Linked DNA regions of Macaca mulatta. The protein of the gene in region 4 interacts with the protein of the main gene of each other region in a biochemical or structural test. Links are inferred from orthologs where the notes say so. Each region holds a gene or a part of one and is shown on either strand. Other genes may lie near its edges.

The links.
Region 1: the proteins of UBE2D1 (region 4) and MARCHF5 form a complex in vitro, tested with the Homo sapiens proteins (4 studies listed by BioGRID). The link is inferred for Macaca mulatta from reciprocal best matches to the Homo sapiens genes UBE2D1 and MARCHF5.
Region 2: the proteins of UBE2D1 (region 4) and MKRN3 form a complex in vitro, tested with the Homo sapiens proteins (2 studies listed by BioGRID). The link is inferred for Macaca mulatta from reciprocal best matches to the Homo sapiens genes UBE2D1 and MKRN3.
Region 3: the proteins of UBE2D1 (region 4) and RNF6 form a complex in vitro, tested with the Homo sapiens proteins (2 studies listed by BioGRID). The link is inferred for Macaca mulatta from reciprocal best matches to the Homo sapiens genes UBE2D1 and RNF6.

Annotation. Positions count from the first base shown.
Region 1 is NC_133414.1:104,261,911-104,266,693, forward strand, and holds the start of MARCHF5 (E3 ubiquitin-protein ligase MARCHF5), read left to right. Parts: upstream 1-1,456; 5' UTR 1,457-1,589; coding exon 1,590-1,624; intron 1,625-4,783. UniProt on the Homo sapiens protein: Mitochondrial E3 ubiquitin-protein ligase that plays a crucial role in the control of mitochondrial morphology by acting as a positive regulator of mitochondrial fission and as an important regulator of immune response.
Region 2 is NC_133412.1:6,385,412-6,390,070, reverse strand, and holds the start of MKRN3 (E3 ubiquitin-protein ligase makorin-3), read left to right. Parts: upstream 1-1,332; 5' UTR 1,333-1,441; coding exon 1,442-2,965; 3' UTR 2,966-4,659. UniProt on the Homo sapiens protein: E3 ubiquitin ligase catalyzing the covalent attachment of ubiquitin moieties onto substrate proteins.
Region 3 is NC_133422.1:6,335,932-6,340,482, reverse strand, and holds the start of RNF6 (E3 ubiquitin-protein ligase RNF6), read left to right. Parts: upstream 1-1,224; 5' UTR 1,225-1,652; coding exon 1,653-1,761; exon of another isoform or gene 1,762-1,898; intron 1,899-2,212; coding exon 2,213-2,295; intron 2,296-3,864; coding exon 3,865-4,075; intron 4,076-4,551. UniProt on the Homo sapiens protein: E3 ubiquitin-protein ligase mediating 'Lys-48'-linked polyubiquitination of LIMK1 and its subsequent targeting to the proteasome for degradation. Negatively regulates axonal outgrowth through regulation of the LIMK1 turnover.
Region 4 is NC_133414.1:91,527,175-91,532,261, reverse strand, and holds the start of UBE2D1 (ubiquitin-conjugating enzyme E2 D1), read left to right. Parts: upstream 1-1,679; 5' UTR 1,680-1,882; coding exon 1,883-1,906; intron 1,907-5,087.

The DNA of each region.
Region 1 (4,783 bases), about 13 Mb from region 4:
GTGTGTGTGTGTGTGTGTGTGTGTGTGTGGTGGGGGGGTGCTGTTTCTCAAAAGCATATTTCAAAAATTGGAGGCCAAGTAAACTTCTGGTCACATTTTTGAGGGTTTGTTTTTTCCCAGCAATGAACGCTCTAGTTCAAATATACTTCGTAAATTTTGAACAGATAATAAAAAGTTGATTGTAAAACTCTACATTTAAAAAGAGCTTTAAAAACACATTTTCATTTTTTAAAAAATCAAACATCTTGCAGCAGAAATTAGACACAATCAAGGGAAAACTACCAGCGTCCTACCAGTCACAACCCTAGAGAAAATGCCACAGGTCGTCCAAAAAACGCATTCATTTGAGCCAACAGCTCTTTCCTCCCGCCAAAGCTATCCCTCGAACGTCAGAAGCTGACCCAAGGAGTGATTGATGATTTCTCCTTTTTGATTCCCCCTCACCCCCGCCACTCCCAATCCACCTGCTTTAAGGTGTCAACGCGACTACAAACGGTTAACAGTGACCAGCAGCAGAGAGAAACAAACGTCCCTGACAACCCACAGCTGAGTAAGCAAGAGCTGTTTATTCACCAACGTGTTCCATTTGGAGACTGTCGGCGAGCCCTGGAAAGCCCAAGCACATTAAGGTTCCTGGAGAGGGAGAGAATCATCTTTCCTTCCCCCCACTCCCCAGCCCCAAACACACACTGAGAGACTCGGGTGGAAGCCGTCTGGTCCAGGCAGTCCCGACTTGCCCGCCCCCTCAAGAAAAACCTCACGCACCAAAGCAGCCGACCCCTTGCGGGGGTGGTGTAATTCCCCCAAAATGGGCTCTGCCGCAGGAGAGGCTGGCTGCAGCGCCGGGGGCTTCGGAAGGAGTTACTGCCACCCCCAATGCCGCCACTGCCCGCCCTGACGCCACGGCCGGGGCTGGGGACCCTGATGAGAAATGGCCCTTCAGCCCCCTCCCCTCACCTGGCTCGGTCCCACCTGAGGGCTAGAGCGGAGGCAAAAAGAAACAGGCAGGGAGGGCTGACCTTGTTGCTACTGACAGTGGAGCGGCGCATCCTGCTGCTTCCTGGAAAGCGGCCCGAAAGACATTTTTTGCCCCTGGAGGAAGGAAACGGGAGGGCGCCGGCCGGACGGCGGCGGGCGCGGAGGCGTTGGTCCGGGCAGGCTGTGCAGCCTCTAAGCAGGGACGGTCCGAGGACTACATCTCCCAGGCTGCTTTGGGCCGCCCTGCGTCGTAACCCCGGCGCGCACGGAGGCGGTGACTCTTACCTCACAAAGGTAGCTCCTCCGCCGGCAGCAACTCGGCGCCCGCGGTCCATGGACCGGAACCTCGGGCCGACGGACAGGAACCCGGGCCGCGATCGCCGCCTCCCCGCCTCAGGCTCCTCCTCCTCGTTCTCCGCCGCCTCCACCGGACGCCCGCAGGCCCCGCACCGCCGCCGCCCGGCTAGCGCAGCTGCCCCGGGAAGCTGGGTGACTGGTTCGCGGCTGCCGCCGGACTGCGGCCTACTCCGCTGTCTCTCAGTGCTATTGTCCCTGGGCCTGGCCTTGAGCGGGTCCACTGGGGAGGGCCGAGTGCGCCGGCTCCGCGGAAGATGCCGGACCAAGCCTTACAGCAGATGCTGGACAGGTACGGGCAGCTGTTGGGGGGGGACCGGGAGCCGCCGACCCTCGCTCTGGCCCTGCCCGCGCCCGCCCTCGAGGCTCTTGGTGAGCAGAACTCGGCGTGCCGGGAGGAGTTCCACGGCCGGGGGGCCGTGAGAGGGGCAGAAAGTTTGGAGTCTAGACTTGGGGAGGACAGAACGAGCGGCCTGGGTCGTAGACTTTGGGTGAAACTTAGCTAAGGAGTGGCGTCTGGTTTCTTTGGAACCCCGTTTTGACGTGAGAGGGACCCATGTTAATCCACAAAATTAGTTTTCCTTACCCTCCTCGCCTCCCCCTTCCTCCCTCCCCAACTTGTAAAGTGTCAGCGATGTCACTGGCAAGAAGAACCGGGTTATCTTTCAGGAGAATGACCCCCTTACAATTTTAAGTCTCTGTCTGAGAACCAATGATAAACATTCTTTTAGAAAGCCTGATAGGCTGATTTCGTTCTCTCCCCTTTCCCTGAGCCCGCACCACCCTCCCCCCGCCCCATCCCGTCCCCACCTCCGAACTGTAAGGTCAGAGTATCCGCAAGGGAGCTTTAACGGTCAGACCAAAGTAGAGGTTATGGAAAACAGCCAAATGAGTCCAATGCTGAACACTTAGTGTACTTGGCGATCGTTGGGTTCATTGAAAACGTTTCAGCTCGTACAGGAGTCCAGTTGCCCATTCTTGGGGGGCCCCAGTCTGTAAAACTCTTTGTGAAGTCGGGTGCACCGCCCTCTGCTGTTGAAATTCTAGTCCGTGGGTTCTACCATGAGTTTTGGGAGACTCTAGATCCACATTTCCCCCCAGCTGAGTCTTACTTTCTGGCATAGCAAGTTGTACAAGCTAATTCATAATGTTTGTGGTTGCTTACAATTCTCAGCAGACATCACTTGCCACCCATTTCAGCAGGTGGTACCAACTCTTTGTACTCAGTAAAATTCCAACTGTAAGGTGTTAAATGAAGGCCCTCCCTTGAGTTTATACCCAGTTAAATGCTGTTTGGGTCTGCCACACCCAGAACACAAGTGACCCAAGTGTACACATCCTTCCAGAGTGACAGACATTTTCTTGGAGCTTAGAATTTTGAGCCATCTCAGTTGATAGAAATTATGTCACTAATTTTTTTCAGTTGAGGTAACTGGTGATTCATCCAGCCCTTGTTTCAGGTCAACATTCTGACAATTGTATTGACCACCCTTTTATGTATGTGTGTGGTTTATAAGCTCTTGGAAGGCAGAAACTTACTCACTATTTATCTTGAATCCCAGAACAGAGCCTGGTACTCAGTAGGTAATCAGTAAGTATTTGCTGTATGAACTGACGCACAAAGTTATTTGTCAGTTTCCCCAGTTGTCTAGGGGTCTGATAATTTACCAGGTTTTCCTTTCATTGTAAATTGGCAAATTAAAATATGCCCAGAGGAGACCACCTGCCACTGCCAGTTCTGTTCTGTTGAAACCCTGTTTTGATGCAGGGTATTTTGTAATTAATTTTTTCCTCTGAGGGCCTCCTTTCATTTTTACATAGTGACTTTTTTTCTTCTTTTTTTGAGACAGGGTCTCTGTTGCCCAGACTGGAATGCAGTGGCAGTGGCAGTGGTCTGATCTCAGCTCACTGCAACCCCTGCCTCCCGGGCTCAGGTGATCCTCCTACCTCAGCCTCCCTAGTAGCTGGGACCACAGCACATACCACCATACCCAGCTAATTTTTTGTATTTTTATAGAGCCGGAGTTTTGCCATGTAGCCCCTGCTGGTCTCAAACTCCTGGGCTCAAGTGATCCAAGTGATCCTCCCGCCTAGCCTCCCAAAGTGCTGTGTCGTCAAGCATGAGCTATCGCGCCCGGCCTAGAAAAGTTCTTATGTCCAAAAGCTGACCTGGCTTTTCATATGCTCTTTGGAGATTTCCATAAAAGTAAGAAGCCAAAGAATGAGGCTGGGCACAGTGGCTTACCCCTGCAATCCCAGCACTTTGGGAAGCCAAGGCGGGCAGATTACTTGAGGTCAGGCGTTCGAGACCAGCCTAGCCAACATGGTGAAAACCCTGTCTCTACGGGAAAAAAAAAAAAAAATTAGGCAGGCATGGTGGCATGGGCCTGTAGTTCCAACAGGAGGCTGAGGCATGAGAATTGCTTGAACCTGGGAGACGGAGGTTGCAGTGAGCCGAGATTGCACCATTGCACTCCAGCCTGGGTGACAGAGCAAAACTCCATCTCAAAAAAAAAAAAGCTAGTGAGGCATTTAAACCTCAACAGAAATGTGAAGATTCTGGCTGCCATTTACTGAAATAGGTGACTATGACACTGGCTTACTTTCATCTTTGTACTCTTTTGACATATCTTAAAGTAGATTTTTAACATGACTTTCAAAGACCTTTATTGTCTAGATTAGTAGTTGGCAACCTGTTTCCATGTTAGAATTACCTGGGGAACATTTCAAAATATGCATGGATGCTGGATCCTGTCTAAGACCAGTAAGATCAAAAATTTCTGTAGGGTAGAGCTTGGGCATCTATATTTTAAAACTTTTTAAATGTTTCAGATATGGCTGAAACCTACTGCCCTAAGTCCTAAGGCAGTGATATCTTTCAAGATAAGAGATAATAAGGCATAGTGATTAAAGCTTGGGCTCAGAGATAGAAAGCATGAAATTCAAATTTTGCCACTTACTAGCTATGTGACTTTGAATTTAGATTCTGACACTATGTATATGATCATTTATAAAATGGGAACCCTACTTCACAGGGCTACAGCAAATGAAAACATACATCTCTGTAAAACAACAAAACACTCTGTGTTAGCCCAATAGAAGGCACTTAAGACTAATGTAAACCCGTTTGGCCGTTTTTCCCCCATCTACTTTATGTTTAAAGTTTTCTTCATCTGGGCTGGCCCTACTGCAAGTTGAACACAAAGATACTCAACATGGTTCACTTGAGGAATACCAACAGGGCCAAAAGACTAAAATATGTCAGCCTATTAGGACCCAGAATTCTTTTCATGAATTTGACTTCTCCTCAACCTGGTTTTTGGTGGCAATTTTTGAGGGACAGAATTTAGCTCAGATAACTGTTCGTTTGTTTGTTTCTTGAATGCAGGTTTTATCTTTGTGAAGACTAGGGAAATGTGTGTTACATATTGTTCTGTTGCTTTTAGGTTAA
Region 2 (4,659 bases), on a different chromosome or scaffold from region 4:
CTTCAATAAGCTGTTTAAAGGATTTTACTTAATTTATTTCCCTTATTTAATATTTGTTTTTCTTCATTGCTTTTCTTGGCCTTATTATTTGCTTCATTCTGCTTTCTTTGCTTTTACCTACCTAATTATAATTTAATTTGTTGACTTGGGTGATTATAAATATTCAGATATGTTTCCACTTTACAGATTTAGGCAACAAAATTTCCTCAAAGAAACTTACAGAAAAAAAAAAAATCCAATAATATATAAAACGATATATCATGACACAGAAGGGCTTCTTATTAGAAACAAATTGGTCAGTTAAATATTTGAAACTCATAGCTGCAAATAATCACATTAAGAGAATAAAGGGAAAAACAAGATTATCTCAAAAAATATATAAAACTACATGACAGAATTCAGTATGCAGTCATGATACGTACTCTCAGCAAAGTAGGAATACAAAAAAATGATTAATCCACTACACGTATCTGCAAAAATGACAAAACGCTTATATATGGAAATTAAAGACCATTCCTTTGTGGATAGTATGCCACAACACAGCACAGATGGGGTTGAAAGAAAGCAAGAGAAACAAAGGGCTGCCATGAATTAAACCAGTAGAGAAAATAAAAGCCTGGGTCATGCAGGGGACAGTGCCTTATTCAGCCAGCATCAGGAATGATTGAAGTCTGGGGCTTCTACACAGTGGGAAAACGAGCATAGTAATCACAATAAAGAAAGACATCTGAAAGGTGCTAACTTAGCCTCGGATCAGAAGCGCTGTCTGCTAATGCCTTGCTGGTGAAAAGCGTATCCTGCGTAAGCCCTCAGAAATCCCAGAAAACAAAGACCAAAAGAAACGACGCTTTGTCAACAGAGCAAATCGAAAAAATCTTCCAGCAGTGACAGGGCATTAAAAAAAAAAAAACGCAGACATAAGATGGAGTGAATCAAAAAAGGATTTATCTAATTCATGTATGAAATGTTTCAGAATCTATTGGATTCTAATTTTTTTAAAGCAGACAGATACGAAAATACAACGAAGACGTGCATGACTGAAACCAAAAGAGATTAAAGTAAAACCTCATTCTCCTGAGGAAACGGTGTGAGGAGGGAATTAGGGGCTGCCGGAACACAGCGAAGCAGAGGCAGAAGGCAGACAAAAGGGGCTGGGTTGGTCCCTGCCTGTGTGAACAAAAAATATGTCAGATTGGAAAATTGCGGTAAAATCCAAGCGCGGCGCGTACGTTGCCCCCACAGGAAGTGTCCGCCGCGCTGCCTGTGCCCGGAAGTAGGTAGGAACACACAGTCACAGGCAGCCAAGAACCGGGGGGGAAGAAAAAGAGATGCACACTTCCCCTAGAGAAGCCTCCGAGCGCGGCCGCGACTCCGGGCCTCAAGCCCATAAAGAAAAAATACCGGAGACGTTCTGGCACCATTTCGGGGTAAAGAAGCTGCCATGGAAGAGCCTGCAGCTCCCTCAGAAGCCCAGGAGGCAGCCGGGGCCCAGGCAGGTGCTGAGGCAGCAGGGGAGGGTGTGTCCGGGCCGGACCTTCCCGTCTGTGAGCCCTCCAGGGAATCTGCTGCTCCAGATTCGGCCCTGCCACATGCGCCTGTGGGCTGGGCCCCCTTCCCTGTAGCTCCAGTCCCTGCCCACCTCCGCACAGGAGGCCTGAGGCCTGCACCAGCCTCAGGAGGAGGAGCATGGCGCAATCCGTTTCCAAGCCGAAGCAGCGGCATTTGGACAAAGCAGATCATCTGCAGGTATTATATACATGGGCAGTGCAAGGAGGGGGAGAACTGTCGCTATTCCCACGACCTTTCTGGTCGGAAGATGGCCACTGAGGGCAGCGTTTCGCCGCCTGGGGCCTCTGCAGGTGGAGGCCCTAGCACGGCTGCGCACATCGAGCCCCCGACTCAGGAAGTGGCGGAAGCCCCCCCGGCTGCATCCTCCCTTTCCTTGCCTGTGATTGGCTCGGCTGCTGAAAGGGGTTTCTTTGAAGCCGAGAGAGACAATGCAGACCGTGGAGCTGCTGGAGGAGCAGGTGTAGAAAGCTGGGCGGATGCCATTGAGTTTGTTCCAGGGCAGCCCTACCGGGGCCGCTGGGTTGCATCTGCCCCCGAGGCTCCTCCACAGAGCTCAGAGACTGAGAGGAAGCAGATGGCTGTGGGCAGGGGGTTGCGGTTTTGCTATTATGCTTCCAGGGGAGTTTGCTTTCGTGGGGAGAGCTGTATGTTCCTCCATGGAGACATATGCGACATGTGTGGGCTGCAGGCCTTGCACCCCATGGATGCTGCCCAGAGGGAAGACCATATAAGGGCCTGCATTGAAGCACACGAGAAAGATATGGAACTCTCGTTTGCTGTGCAGCGTGGTATGGACAAGGTGTGTGGCATCTGCATGGAGGTTGTCTATGAGAAAGCCAACCCCAATGACCGCCGCTTTGGCATTCTTTCCAATTGCAACCATACCTTCTGTATTAGGTGTATCCGCAGGTGGAGAAGTGCCAGACAGTTTGATAACAGGATCATCAAGTCTTGCCCGCAGTGCAGGGTCACCTCCGACTTGGTCGTTCCCAGTGAGTTCTGGGTGGAGGAGGAGGAAGAGAAGCAGAAACTTATTCAGCAATACAAGGAGGCAATGAGCAACAAGGCCTGCAGGTATTTTGCGGAAGGCAGGGGTAACTGCCCATTTGGAGACACATGCTTTTACAAGCATGAATACCCTGAGGGCTGGGGAGATGAGCCTCCTGGGCCAGGTGGTGGGTCATTCGGCGCATACTGGCATCAACTTGTGGAGCCTGTGCGAATGGGAGAGGGCGACATGCTCTATAAAAGCCGTAAGAAGGAGCTTGTCGTGCTTCGACTGGCCAGTCTGTTGTTTAAGCGGTTTCTTTTACTGAGAGATGAGTTACCCTTCTCTGAGGACCAGTGGGACTTGCTTCATTATGAGCTGGAAGAATATTTCAATTTGAATCTGTAGCATTGTGCTGTGGCATGTGGTCTAGTCTGCTGAGGTTCTGTCGTCTGCTATTGCCTGTTTTCCCTGTGTTGACACTCTTATTGCTTTCAGGGGCTGTTGAGGCAGTGCTTCTGTTTTCTTGTCTATTCTGCATATCTTTCCTCCTAGGATTATGGTGATTATCTGTGTTTAAAAAAATAAGTCCTTAAAGTTACTGTTTTGGTGAAATTAATATTAATGTCAGCTTATGGCTTTTTTTGTCATCTCTGTTTTCAACAGGATTAACTCAGTTCTAGTGTAGTGTTTACTGAATTTCCACACTTATTTTGAAGACCCTCAAGAGTAAATGTGGCAGAGTGAAAGGAGAAGTTTTAATTGAACTAGTAGCTTTGTGCTATAATAGCCTTAACAAATGGACCCTCGCAGGGTCTTGCAGCTGCTCATCTGTTTACAGTTTGTTCTTTCCCTCCTTCCCCTTCAAGTGCACTTGTTAAACTGTGATGAACTTGTGATTTTGTGTTTTACTTGACCAAAACCAAGTGTATATGTTTACATGTTTTTATCCTGTTTAGCTTGACATGAAATAATTTATATTTGGAAATATATATTTAAGAATGATATATATATAATATATATGTATAAGAGCTATGTATTTGAAAATATATATAAAAGAATATACATCACAATATTTATGTTTATGTAATAAAGTAAATACAGAGCCGAAAGCTGAAGGTCAAAGCCTAACAGGATTGGCTGTTGTGTGGATGTGAGTTGTGTGAATAATCATTCTGTCCCTTGCACAGAAGCCAGTAATTAGCATCTAATGAAAAGGACTGTTCAAGTGGGTCTGGCCAAATGTAACAGATGCAGATCTTAAGAGGACTTACAAAGCACTATATTGGTAATTCTTACAATGGCATTAATAGCTCACTCTATAAAAACAGAAATTGTGTTCCTACGCAGTTTTGCCACCTTCTCAATAATTCTTTGTAACAGCAAATCCTAGGCTCAGAGGCACAGTGCTTTGTATTTGATATACAAAGTCTCTAGACTTTCCCAACAAGGGGCTTTAGACAAAAGATTTCAACATAAAAGTAACAAGATTATAAAAGGGAAAATAGAACAAAAATACTAAAACCAGTGAGAATAAAATAATGGAAAGATAATAAAATATAGAAAGCACTAAAAACTAAGTGTAAGAGTAATATAGAAAATTTACATACAACTTAGATTAAATGAAAGCAGTTTAAAGACTGAAAGTCAAAGGCTATAAGACTTCATTACAATCAAAATGAAACATCCTATTTAAAATACACACAACATAAAAATACAGAAGCATTCAAAGTAGTAAGATGGGAAAAAAAACCAAACAGGTGCTGTGACTGTCTTGATTGTAGACAATGTTTATGGTAAGGATAAACACTTTGCTGGAGATAAAAAGGAATGATACATAAACATTAAATTGTAATTCACAGGAATATATAACTGTTCAAATTTTGTATACATTTAATAATGTTGTATCAGATACACAACTGATAAAAATAGAAAATCCTAACTCCAGACTCTTAGTGGACAATTTTAATACACCTTTTTAGTAACCAAACAAGCAAAGAAAAAATGAATGTGAAAGATAATTATGCCATTTTAATGACTTACCTGCATAACTTATGATCTGCATCAACTGCAAATGCACTTACCTTGGCTGAAGTAGCTGA
Region 3 (4,551 bases), on a different chromosome or scaffold from region 4:
GCTTGAGGGTGAGATAAGGGTGTTACCTCAGAGGTATCAGGAAAAATTCCTTAAAGATGAGAACTGAGCTGAGTTTTGGGAGACAGAGAGAATTAGGTAAAAGTGGAGTTGGGGGTTGCGTAGGAGTTCCCGTATCTTGTGGCGGAACTTCCAGCAGTTTCAGAGTGCCAAGACATCAATCTGTCAATGTAAGCAGCGGAGAGACCTGGAAGGACTTTCTAGGCTGTTTTATATATTTCCATTTTAGTATCCATATCCCTATGCTTATTTTAAAAACTTGTCCATAGATCCTTACTACACTGGTAGCTCACTGATGCTAAGGACTGCCCAGCATAATAATGGGAATATGGTAGTTCCTCAAAAATTAATGCAGAAATGAAATAACAAACGGGAGAATGACAAGTAACGGCATTGTGAGCACTCTCCAGTGATGAAGTCATCTGGATAGCGGGGATGTGAGGAAGGGGGCCTATACCAGGTTAGACGGAGACCTACTCAGCATATTAACTAATGGTGAGGCAAGTTTAGTAAGCCTCACATCTCAGAAATAAAATCAGAGAGAGGAATGTTGGGAGTTTCAAACTGCTTTCCTAGCGAGAAGGTGAAAAAACACAAAATGTAGTGGGGTGCAGTGCCTCATGCCTGTAATCCCATTTTGCTGAGGTGGGAGGATTGCTTGAGGCCGAGTACGAAATCAGCCTGGGCAACATAGCGAGACCCTTGTCTCTACAAAAGAAAAAAATGTGAAATTAGTGGCAAGCGCCTGTAGTTCCAGCTACTGGGATGAGGAGGGCGGAACGCTGGAGGCTGCAGTGAGCTACGATCGCTCCACTGCACTCCAGCCTGGGCGACAGGGCGAGACCTTTTCTCAAATAGAGATAGGCAGACAGACTTCAGAATGTATTAGGGTTTGTAATTTCCAGGTTCCAACGAACAGCAAGGGAAAGGGCCTGGCTGGGTAGTACGTTACACCCGGAAGTAAAGGGACGAATACACCTTTGGGTGCACTTTGTAGTCTGGCTGGCAAACAAGCAACACGGACGCGTAGAGTTAAGTGCTGGGACTTCCCAAGCCTGGAAAGCAAGCTGTGTCTCTGCGACTACGCGGCTGCCACCAGCGCTGAGCGGCCGGTTTTTGGCCTCGAGGAGGAGGCACTGTAAGGGCGGCGCGGAGAGGGCGGAACGCGGGACGCAGGCACCCTAGCTCCCGACGGACGCAATTTTCAGTCGCACGGGCGAGCTCCGGTGCGAGCTGCGGAGCGACTCCCCTTCGCCGAGTGGGCGGCCTGGCTGTCTGGAAAGAAGGGCTGGGGCCTGCCGTTCCGCCCGCGGAGCATCCTCCCCAGCTGGACGACCCCACGCTGCAGCACGGGCTTCCGGCTTCTCTCCTCAGTGGCCAATTCGAGGGAACAGCGGGCTCCGGAGGCGCGGCGGCAAGCCTATCCCGCCTCCTAGCCACAGCCTCCAGCACCCGAGAGAACCGCCGTCCGCGGCACACTTTTTCCGGGAAGGAGGCGGAAGGCCCGGGACTTGGAGGACAGGTGGGTTCGAGGGAAAGATCTGGGTCCCACCACTACTTCCTGGAGACGCCGGGGAAAGCAGGCCATCCTTCGAGCCACCCATCTCTTCTCCGATTGGTTAACTGCCCTCTTAATGCGCTCCGCTGGCTGGAGATTGGTTGGGATGCACCGTCTATCACCTGCTTCCCTGTGGGAATCTAGGTCGCTAAGGGAAGCGTTACTTGAGGCTCGGTTGGGAAGAGGTTGGTTGGGCCCCTTGAGCCCACTCTGTTTATCATACTGGGGATCGTCCCCCGGCGCGAGCTTCCGTCGCAACGGCCAGGAAAGAAACCAGTAGCGGGACGGAGGGCGGGGGTGGCAAGAAAGTCAAGGTTTAGAAGTAAGCCAGAGACGCCTAACCCTGGTAACATCCGAATGGGAACGGGATAGGAAGGAAGGCCTTTGAGAGAGGAGGCGTAAACCCAGGAGCAGTGACAGTGTAGGACGAAAGGCCTAAGTTTGTTGCGGGAGGTAGGGGCCTTGCGGGAGGTGTTCATGACCTAATTGTATGGGGATCTAATTTTCTAGATGTGTCTAACAAAATCCACTGGAGAATTTGCTTTGGCTTTGCAGCAGAGTGGGGAGACTCCCACCCGTTCCTGGCCTTCAAAGAGACAGTTTATTGAATTATTCACCTCTCTTTTATTGCTTCAGATGGGCAACTCTCAAAAAAGGTACAAACAATTGAAGGATGGATACCATGGCATATGGTAAAAGCATGTCGAAAGGAAAATAAGGTATTCGCTTTGTTTTCATGGTGATTAATTGTATAAGAAAATTACCTTTAAGGAGAAGCTGTTACGTTTTAAATAATATTAGGGTAGCTTGATTTTATGATAGGTTTCTGTAAAGTTATTTATTACAAAAATCCTATTATTGCTGTACCTACGAAATATGCTCTTTGCTAATTACGGTCCTAATCTGAAGATAGAAATCTTGAGTTTTTAGTAGTGTTAATTCGTATTTGAGTGGATAATGTTACTAGGTCATTTGTTCAAAATGACAAAATAACCACAGTGAAAAAAATCCTTGAATTTGTAATTTAGTGTTACAGGTGAAATTGAATAGTTGCCTACTCCTACAGTGTTTTAGACTTCTAGGCTAATTTCACCTTATATTTAAAGCAGCTTGCTTATTAAACACCTGGTGTATTTCGAGAGGCGGAGTTGCACAGTTGCTTCACTGGTAGCCTAGCCATTTGAGCCTCCAGCCTCTACTGAATCAGGTGCTGTATCACTCATACCCTTTAGTGACATGCCAGAGGTTGTTGAGGAATAGTTTATTTCATCTGTAGAACACCCAAATTAGCTCTTAACAGCAGACCTGGTCCTACCCTGGAAAACTCTAATCAAGGATTGGGGATGAGATTTGGGCATCTGGATTTTTAAAAATGTCCTTAAGTGAGTTTGAGAACCATTGCTTTAGTGTGACTTACTAAATAGATATGTTTAAGAAATTTTAAAATATTTATGAAACAAACATCTTTCTCCCTTGATTTCCTTATCGTTTAAAAGCGAGCTTCTCAGGAGTGACATTTAAATATAATTCAAAAACAGTGTTTTCTTAGGCAAAGTTAGGAAGTTTCACTGGCACTCTGAAACTCCTGGGACTAACCATTCCAGGCTTAAGGATGAGGCTTGTTATGGGGAGATACAAAGTGCTCTGATGCACTTTCACAATCCTTGAGCCATACATGATGTCTTGTTTCCTGTTGGGTTTCAAAGTCTTCCTGGTAGGCTTTAACGAGAGATCACCTCCCAGTCTGTTCAGTAGATATTAATTAGGCTAAATGATTTTTACCTCAACAAAGTGCAGTGGGGGATAATATTACATTCATGAGCCTTATTTTGGAAAGAATACCTTGCTGAAAATAAATGTAAATTATATCATCCCAATACCCCTTTGCTCATTAAGTGAAGAATGTGCATAATTCAAGCCTAAAATTTGTAATTAATGTGAAGTACCCAGATACTGAAACATAAATGAGGACTTCTGGATCAACTTTTCCAGATCATTAGCCGGGTCAAAAATGAGATAATCACTATGGTATTCAGGCATGAGCATTGTGTGGTAAACCCAAATCCAGTCTGACTTAATGGCTTTAGGCAAAGAAGTAGCTCCAATTGTGTTGTATTTCCTAGAAGTTGTTTTTCATTTTATATGTAAGGTTCTCACTGCAAGACTTGGCAAATACAGTATTTGGGTAGGGGACAACATTTAAAAATTAAAAACTGTAAGTTATAAATACAAAGCTAAATGTGGTCCATGACTTAACACCTTGAATTTTGTTTATATTGTTTGAACAGAAAGCCAGGAATCTCAGGATGAATCAGTCTACATCTAGATCAGATGGTGGCAGTGAAGAAAGCTTATCTCAAGACCATAATCATCATGAAAATGAGAGAAGATGGCAGCAAGAGCGTCTCCACAGAGAAGAGGCCTATTATCAGTTTATTAATGAACTCAATGATGAAGATTATCGGCTTATGAGAGACCATAACCTTTTAGGCACCCCTGGTAAGAGATCGGTAAAAGAGGAGACACCTTTTTCCATCATTAGGTGGAAGGATTTCAAGATAAGGAGAATTGGTATTCTTTTTCCCTGTTTCTCTTTATGAAAATATAGTATATTGTTTTTGTGAGTTTAAGAACTTTTTAGTGTAATAAAGTAGAAAATCCCTGGCTTCTGTATTTTATAAGGTGAAAATATGGGACATGGAGCACTGTTACACAAATGCCAAACTAAGAAACAGGTTAATGTACATAATGGTGTTAAGTATTTACATATATGGTCCTATTTGTAATTTTTATACAAATAAAATATGACTTGGCTGGGTGTGGTGGCTCACGCCTGTAATTCCAGCACTTTGGGAGGCCAAGGTGAGTGGATCACCTGAGGTCAGGAGTTCGAGACCAGCCTGGCCAATATGGTGAAACCCCATCTCTATTGAAAATACAAAAAATCAGCCGGGCGTCGTGGTGCGTGCCTGTAA
Region 4 (5,087 bases):
AAACCCTTTTTTGTTTGGTTCTCATTTCTTTCTTTGCCTGCCGCCATCCATGTAAGGTGTGACTTGCTCCTCCTTGCCTTCTGCCACAATTGTGAGGCTTCCCCAGCCACGTGGAACTGTCCAATTAAACCCCTTTCTTTTGTAAATTGCCCAGTCTCGGCTATGTCTTTATCAGCAGCATGAAAACGGACTAATACAATGCATATCTGATGTTTAGCTCCCACTTATAAGTAAGAATATGTGGTATTTCATTTTCTGTTCCTGCATTAATTCACTTAGGATAATGGCCTCCAGCTGTATCTATGTTGCTGCAAAGGATATTATTTCATTCTTTTTTATGGCTGCATAGTATTCCACAGTGTATGCCCCATTTTCTTTATCCAATCCACCATTAATGAGCACCTAGGTTGACTCCATGTCTTTGCTATTGTGAATAGTACTGATGAACATGTGAGAACATATATCTTTTTGGTGGAATAATTTGTTTTCAGTTGCATATATAACCAGTAATGGGATTGCTGGGTCAAATGGTAGTTTTGTTGTAAGTTCTTTGAGAAATCTCCAAACTGTTTTCCACGATGGCTGAACTAATTTACATTCCCACTAACAGCATATAAATGTTACCTTTTCTCCTCAGCGTCACCAACATCTGTTGATGTTTTCACTTTTTTTTTTTTTCCTTTTTGAGACAGAGTCTTACTCTGTCGCCCAGGCTGGAGAGCAGTGACTCCAACTCAGCTCACTGCAACCTCCGCCTCCCGGGATTAAGCGGTTCTCCTGCCTCAGTCTCCTGAGTAGCTGGGATTACAGGCGCCCACCACCATGCCCAGGTAATTTTTGTATTTTTAGTAGAGATGGGATTTCACCATGTTGGCCAGTCTGGTCTCGAACTCCCAACCTCAGGTAATCTGCCCGCCTCAGCCTCCCAAAGCCCTAGGATTACAGGCGTGAGCCACTGTGCCCGGCCAAGAAGCCAAGTTTTAATGGGTACACAAGTGCCCAGGAATTGGAGAGTGGGGAGTGTGCGTTGACTATTAGTCAGAGACTGTCAATGGAAGGGAAGGAGTCAACGATGGGAGTGAGAGCTCTGAACTCGGTGTTCGAAGCGGGTAATTTATGGGAGGGGCATACCTATGAGCAGACGATGCACTCAGACACGGAAGATCTGTGCATTGGACAGAAGAGACACCTTTTTCCTCTGCAGTAAGAACCAAGGAGGTAAGTAAGGGGTCTGATAGATATGAGTTTGTGCATGTGTGCTGGGTGAGTAATTGAGATAATTCATATATTTGAGAAAAGACAGTGAAATATTTAAAGGTAAATATAATAAAACCAGCTGTGGCACCTATTGGATAAGGAATTACTAACTGATGATTTAGAAATTCCTTTATGTGCGTTAGGAGCTCATTTGTTATCCCCATTTTACAGATGCGCAGCCCCAGGTTCAGTAACTTGCTCTAAATGAGACTGTAGAGACTAACTCCAGCACCCGGCAGCTCTCACCTTAAGCTGCCTGGCTAAGGTCAGCAGCAAGTAACCTGGCAGCGTCTGGGGGCCTGCGGCCGAGGACAGGGCTGGAACTACACTTCCCAGTATGCCAGGCGGGGCGGGGCGCGGCGGGGAGGGCGCAGGCTCCTTCCCAGAAGCAAAAGCGGAAACAAAAGAGTCTCGCCGGCCTCCCCGCCCGCACACTCGCGCACACTCGCGCTCGGGCGCAGACGGAGCAGGGACCGGCGCCCGGAGCGAGCCAGGGAGCGGCGAACCGGGGACCCACCGCGCGGAGCCAGCTGAGCTGCCAGCGAGCCCAACTCGCGAAGACTCACGCCCCCGAGCCCCGCAGCCGACCCCTGCCGGCCGGTGTCCCCACCGCGATCCCTGATCCATGGCGCTGAAGCGGATTCAGAAAGTGAGTGCCGGGGCCGGGCCTGGGGCTGCGGGGCAGCAGGGCAGCGGCGCCTGCCCACGCTGACTCGGCCAGTGGTCCCGAGAGATATGCAGGGAAAGCACGGGATGGAAGGGTGGGCCGGGGTGCGGGCAGGGAGCTGGAGGCTCGGGCCCGGCCAGCGGGCACCGGACAGGTTAGGTGGGAGCGGGGGCAGATCCCAGGCGGCCGGGGGAGCTTGAAGGCTGGGGGCCCGTGGCGCGCTCGCGCCGGGGCCGCTCCCGGAGCCCCAGGGTAGAGAGCCTCCTCCGCGTCCAGACCGCCCCGAAATCTGTGCTTCACGGTCACGGCTGGGTTTTGCCCTCCATGAGGCTAGTTTTGACCCCTGTCATGCTGTGTTTTCTCCAGGCTGTTTCTTAAGCCTGTCTCTTTTATGTTCTTGCTTACCCGGGCTCCCCGGGAGGGCACGGAAGGTGGGGTGGGCCTGCAGCCTTTCTCCGCGGAGCTGTCGGGTTGGTTCTTTCTCCTCTGCGGTTGGCTCTTGCTCAGTTGCCCGAATGGGCTGGAAAGCCCATTTGCGGCCAAGAAGCCAAGAGAAGGCTCCTGCCCCTTCTATTTTGGTGCCTCTGCTGCTGCCACTTCAGGTCACATAGCTGTAGCGAAAACATAGTTGCTGATACACAACAAGATGACCTCCTGGCTGTGATTCACGGTGAGTCAAGCCAAACAGGTTTTTTTTGCCCCTCATGGTAAACTTAGATGTAAAGTTCGAGACACAACATAAACTGTCGCAAATAGATTGTTTTGATGCTTTGACACATGGGTATAAAATGAGGAAGAAATATGTATCTTCATCCAACAACTGTTCACCCATCTCAACCCTGTGTGTGGAATTGTCTTTTTTTCACAGTATTTATTGCCACCATTTCAGAAGCGAACATCCTTCAGAATTGATATTCGGGCATTTCTTTCTGTTCATTTTTATTTCTTGTTGGTCTGTGTACTGACCCAAGTTTTAGGTTTTACAGTTACAGTTCACACTGGGAACATTGAGAATGTGTTTGTTAAATAGGGAGTGCTTTTCACTAAGTTAAGCAACAATGGTCAGTGTATTTTGTAGTTGTTTCAGAAGAAATTAATGCCCACATTTTTATCTACTTTTTTGACCAGTAGTCCATTATAGCAATAGTAAATGTTAGAGCAGTGATAGTGACGTACACATTGTATTCTGACTAGCCACTAGTGGCATCTTTAGGTACAGAGGACAGCAACTTTTAGAGCCTGCCAGTTTTTTATTTTCAAATTCTAAATCTGTTGATCACCTGTTATTTTTTGTCCCATTTAAAGGTCGTCTCATTGTAAAACATACAGTTAACAATCAGCATCAGCATTTATTAAGTTATAATGTTTTCTTGTTTGAAGATAGTTCAGTTACACGTTGTTTTATATAAATATCCTAATTTTGAAGCCTCAGTCGGCCTCTTTACCATAACTTGCATACTTATTAATGACGACGTAATATTGGTTCACATTTGGATCAGAAAATGCACATCTTCCAAGGAAGTTTTCAAATTCTATTTCCTTCTTTCCTAGTTGTGAGAATTTTTCACATGATTTTGCACATACAAGAGCTTTTTAAATTATCACTGTGTTTTTTTAAGAGATGGGGATCTCAGTATGTTGCCCATGCTGGTCTTGAACTCCTGTCCTCCAGAGAGTCTGGGATTACAGGCACAAGTCACCATACCCAACTATAACAATAGCGTTTAAATGCTGTGCAATTTGTCCACAGTAAGTGGATATTCAAAGAAATATGAACATTGTTTGTAAATACCATACTTGGCAGTTCTCGTCAATCACCATGCTGAACTGGTGTATTTGATTTGTATTTATAATGTGTGTGTCCAAATCTTTTCTTTTTAGTATTTATTGGTTATTAGTTTATAGAGTTGTTCAGAAAAAAAAAATTACTTACATGGAATTGATATCAAACATGTGACAAATCGATATTTTGGAGAAGAAATTGGGATCATATACCATCACATCTCTGTGCGTTCATCTTTGGCTTCCCTTTCTGATATCAGGCAAGTTAACTTACACAAGTCTTTCCATTAATCACACATTCAGACCGTTTCCTCAAACCTTAGGGGTGATTATTTTGATTGATTCCCTATTTTTCCTCCTCCTTTATCTACCTCCTTGATTAGAAGCCAATTCTAGGTCAGTTGTGCCGCCTGCCATATGAACAGTTATACCATCTTCTTCTTTGATGTCATCAGTATAGACATTCTTATTTGAATCTTTCATGTTCCAACAAATGAAGATGTATACTAACTTTTGGCCTTTCTTCCTAAGCTCCTATTGAAGTGTTACTATAGTTTTCCTGTACCTAAAGTTGCAGACTGTAGAGCTGTGTGGAACCTCAGATAAGTCTGCCGTAGTGTACTAGAGGGTACCAGCACGGGAACAGCTTCTAGGGTAGTGTCTTAGAATCACCTGAGGGACGTTTTCAGACTGTCGTCACTTCTATAAATGGAGAGGTGTTGAATCCCTCAGATGGGTTGGGGTGGAAAGAAGACTGAGAACCACTGATGTTCTGGCCTGTCCTTATTCAAGGAGGGATCCAGAGGCCTGGAATAGAGGAGTGCATTGTCCTAGGATAATCTTTTTTTGTTTGTTTGTTTGAGATGGAGTCTCGCTTTGTTTCCCAGACTGGAGTGCAGTGGCGTGCTCTCGGCTCACTGCAACCTCTGCCTCCTGGGTTCAAGCAATTCTCCTGCCTCAGCCTCCTGAGTAGCTGGGACTATACAGGCACACGCTGCCAGGCCTGGCTAATTTTTTGTATTTTAGTAGAGATGGGGTTTCACTGTGTTGCCCAGGCTGGTCTCGAACTCCTGAGCTTAGGCAGTCCACCTGCCTCGGCCTCCCAAGGTGCTAGGATTACAGGTGTGAGCCGTCACACCCGGCCAATAATCTCTTAATTGGCTTGGCATATTTGAGAACGTTAAGAAGTTCATGATTTCACATTTCTTCACTATGAAAAAGAATAAAGATGATTGGATTAAAACTGTATGTGAAGACAGAGCATGGAGATATCAATGCTTAAAATACATTTTTATACTAGAATATACTAAATGTACTAGAATATACTAAATGATTTAATGCTCTGATTTAGTGTGCCAGTTTTGCATTCCAGCTCATACAT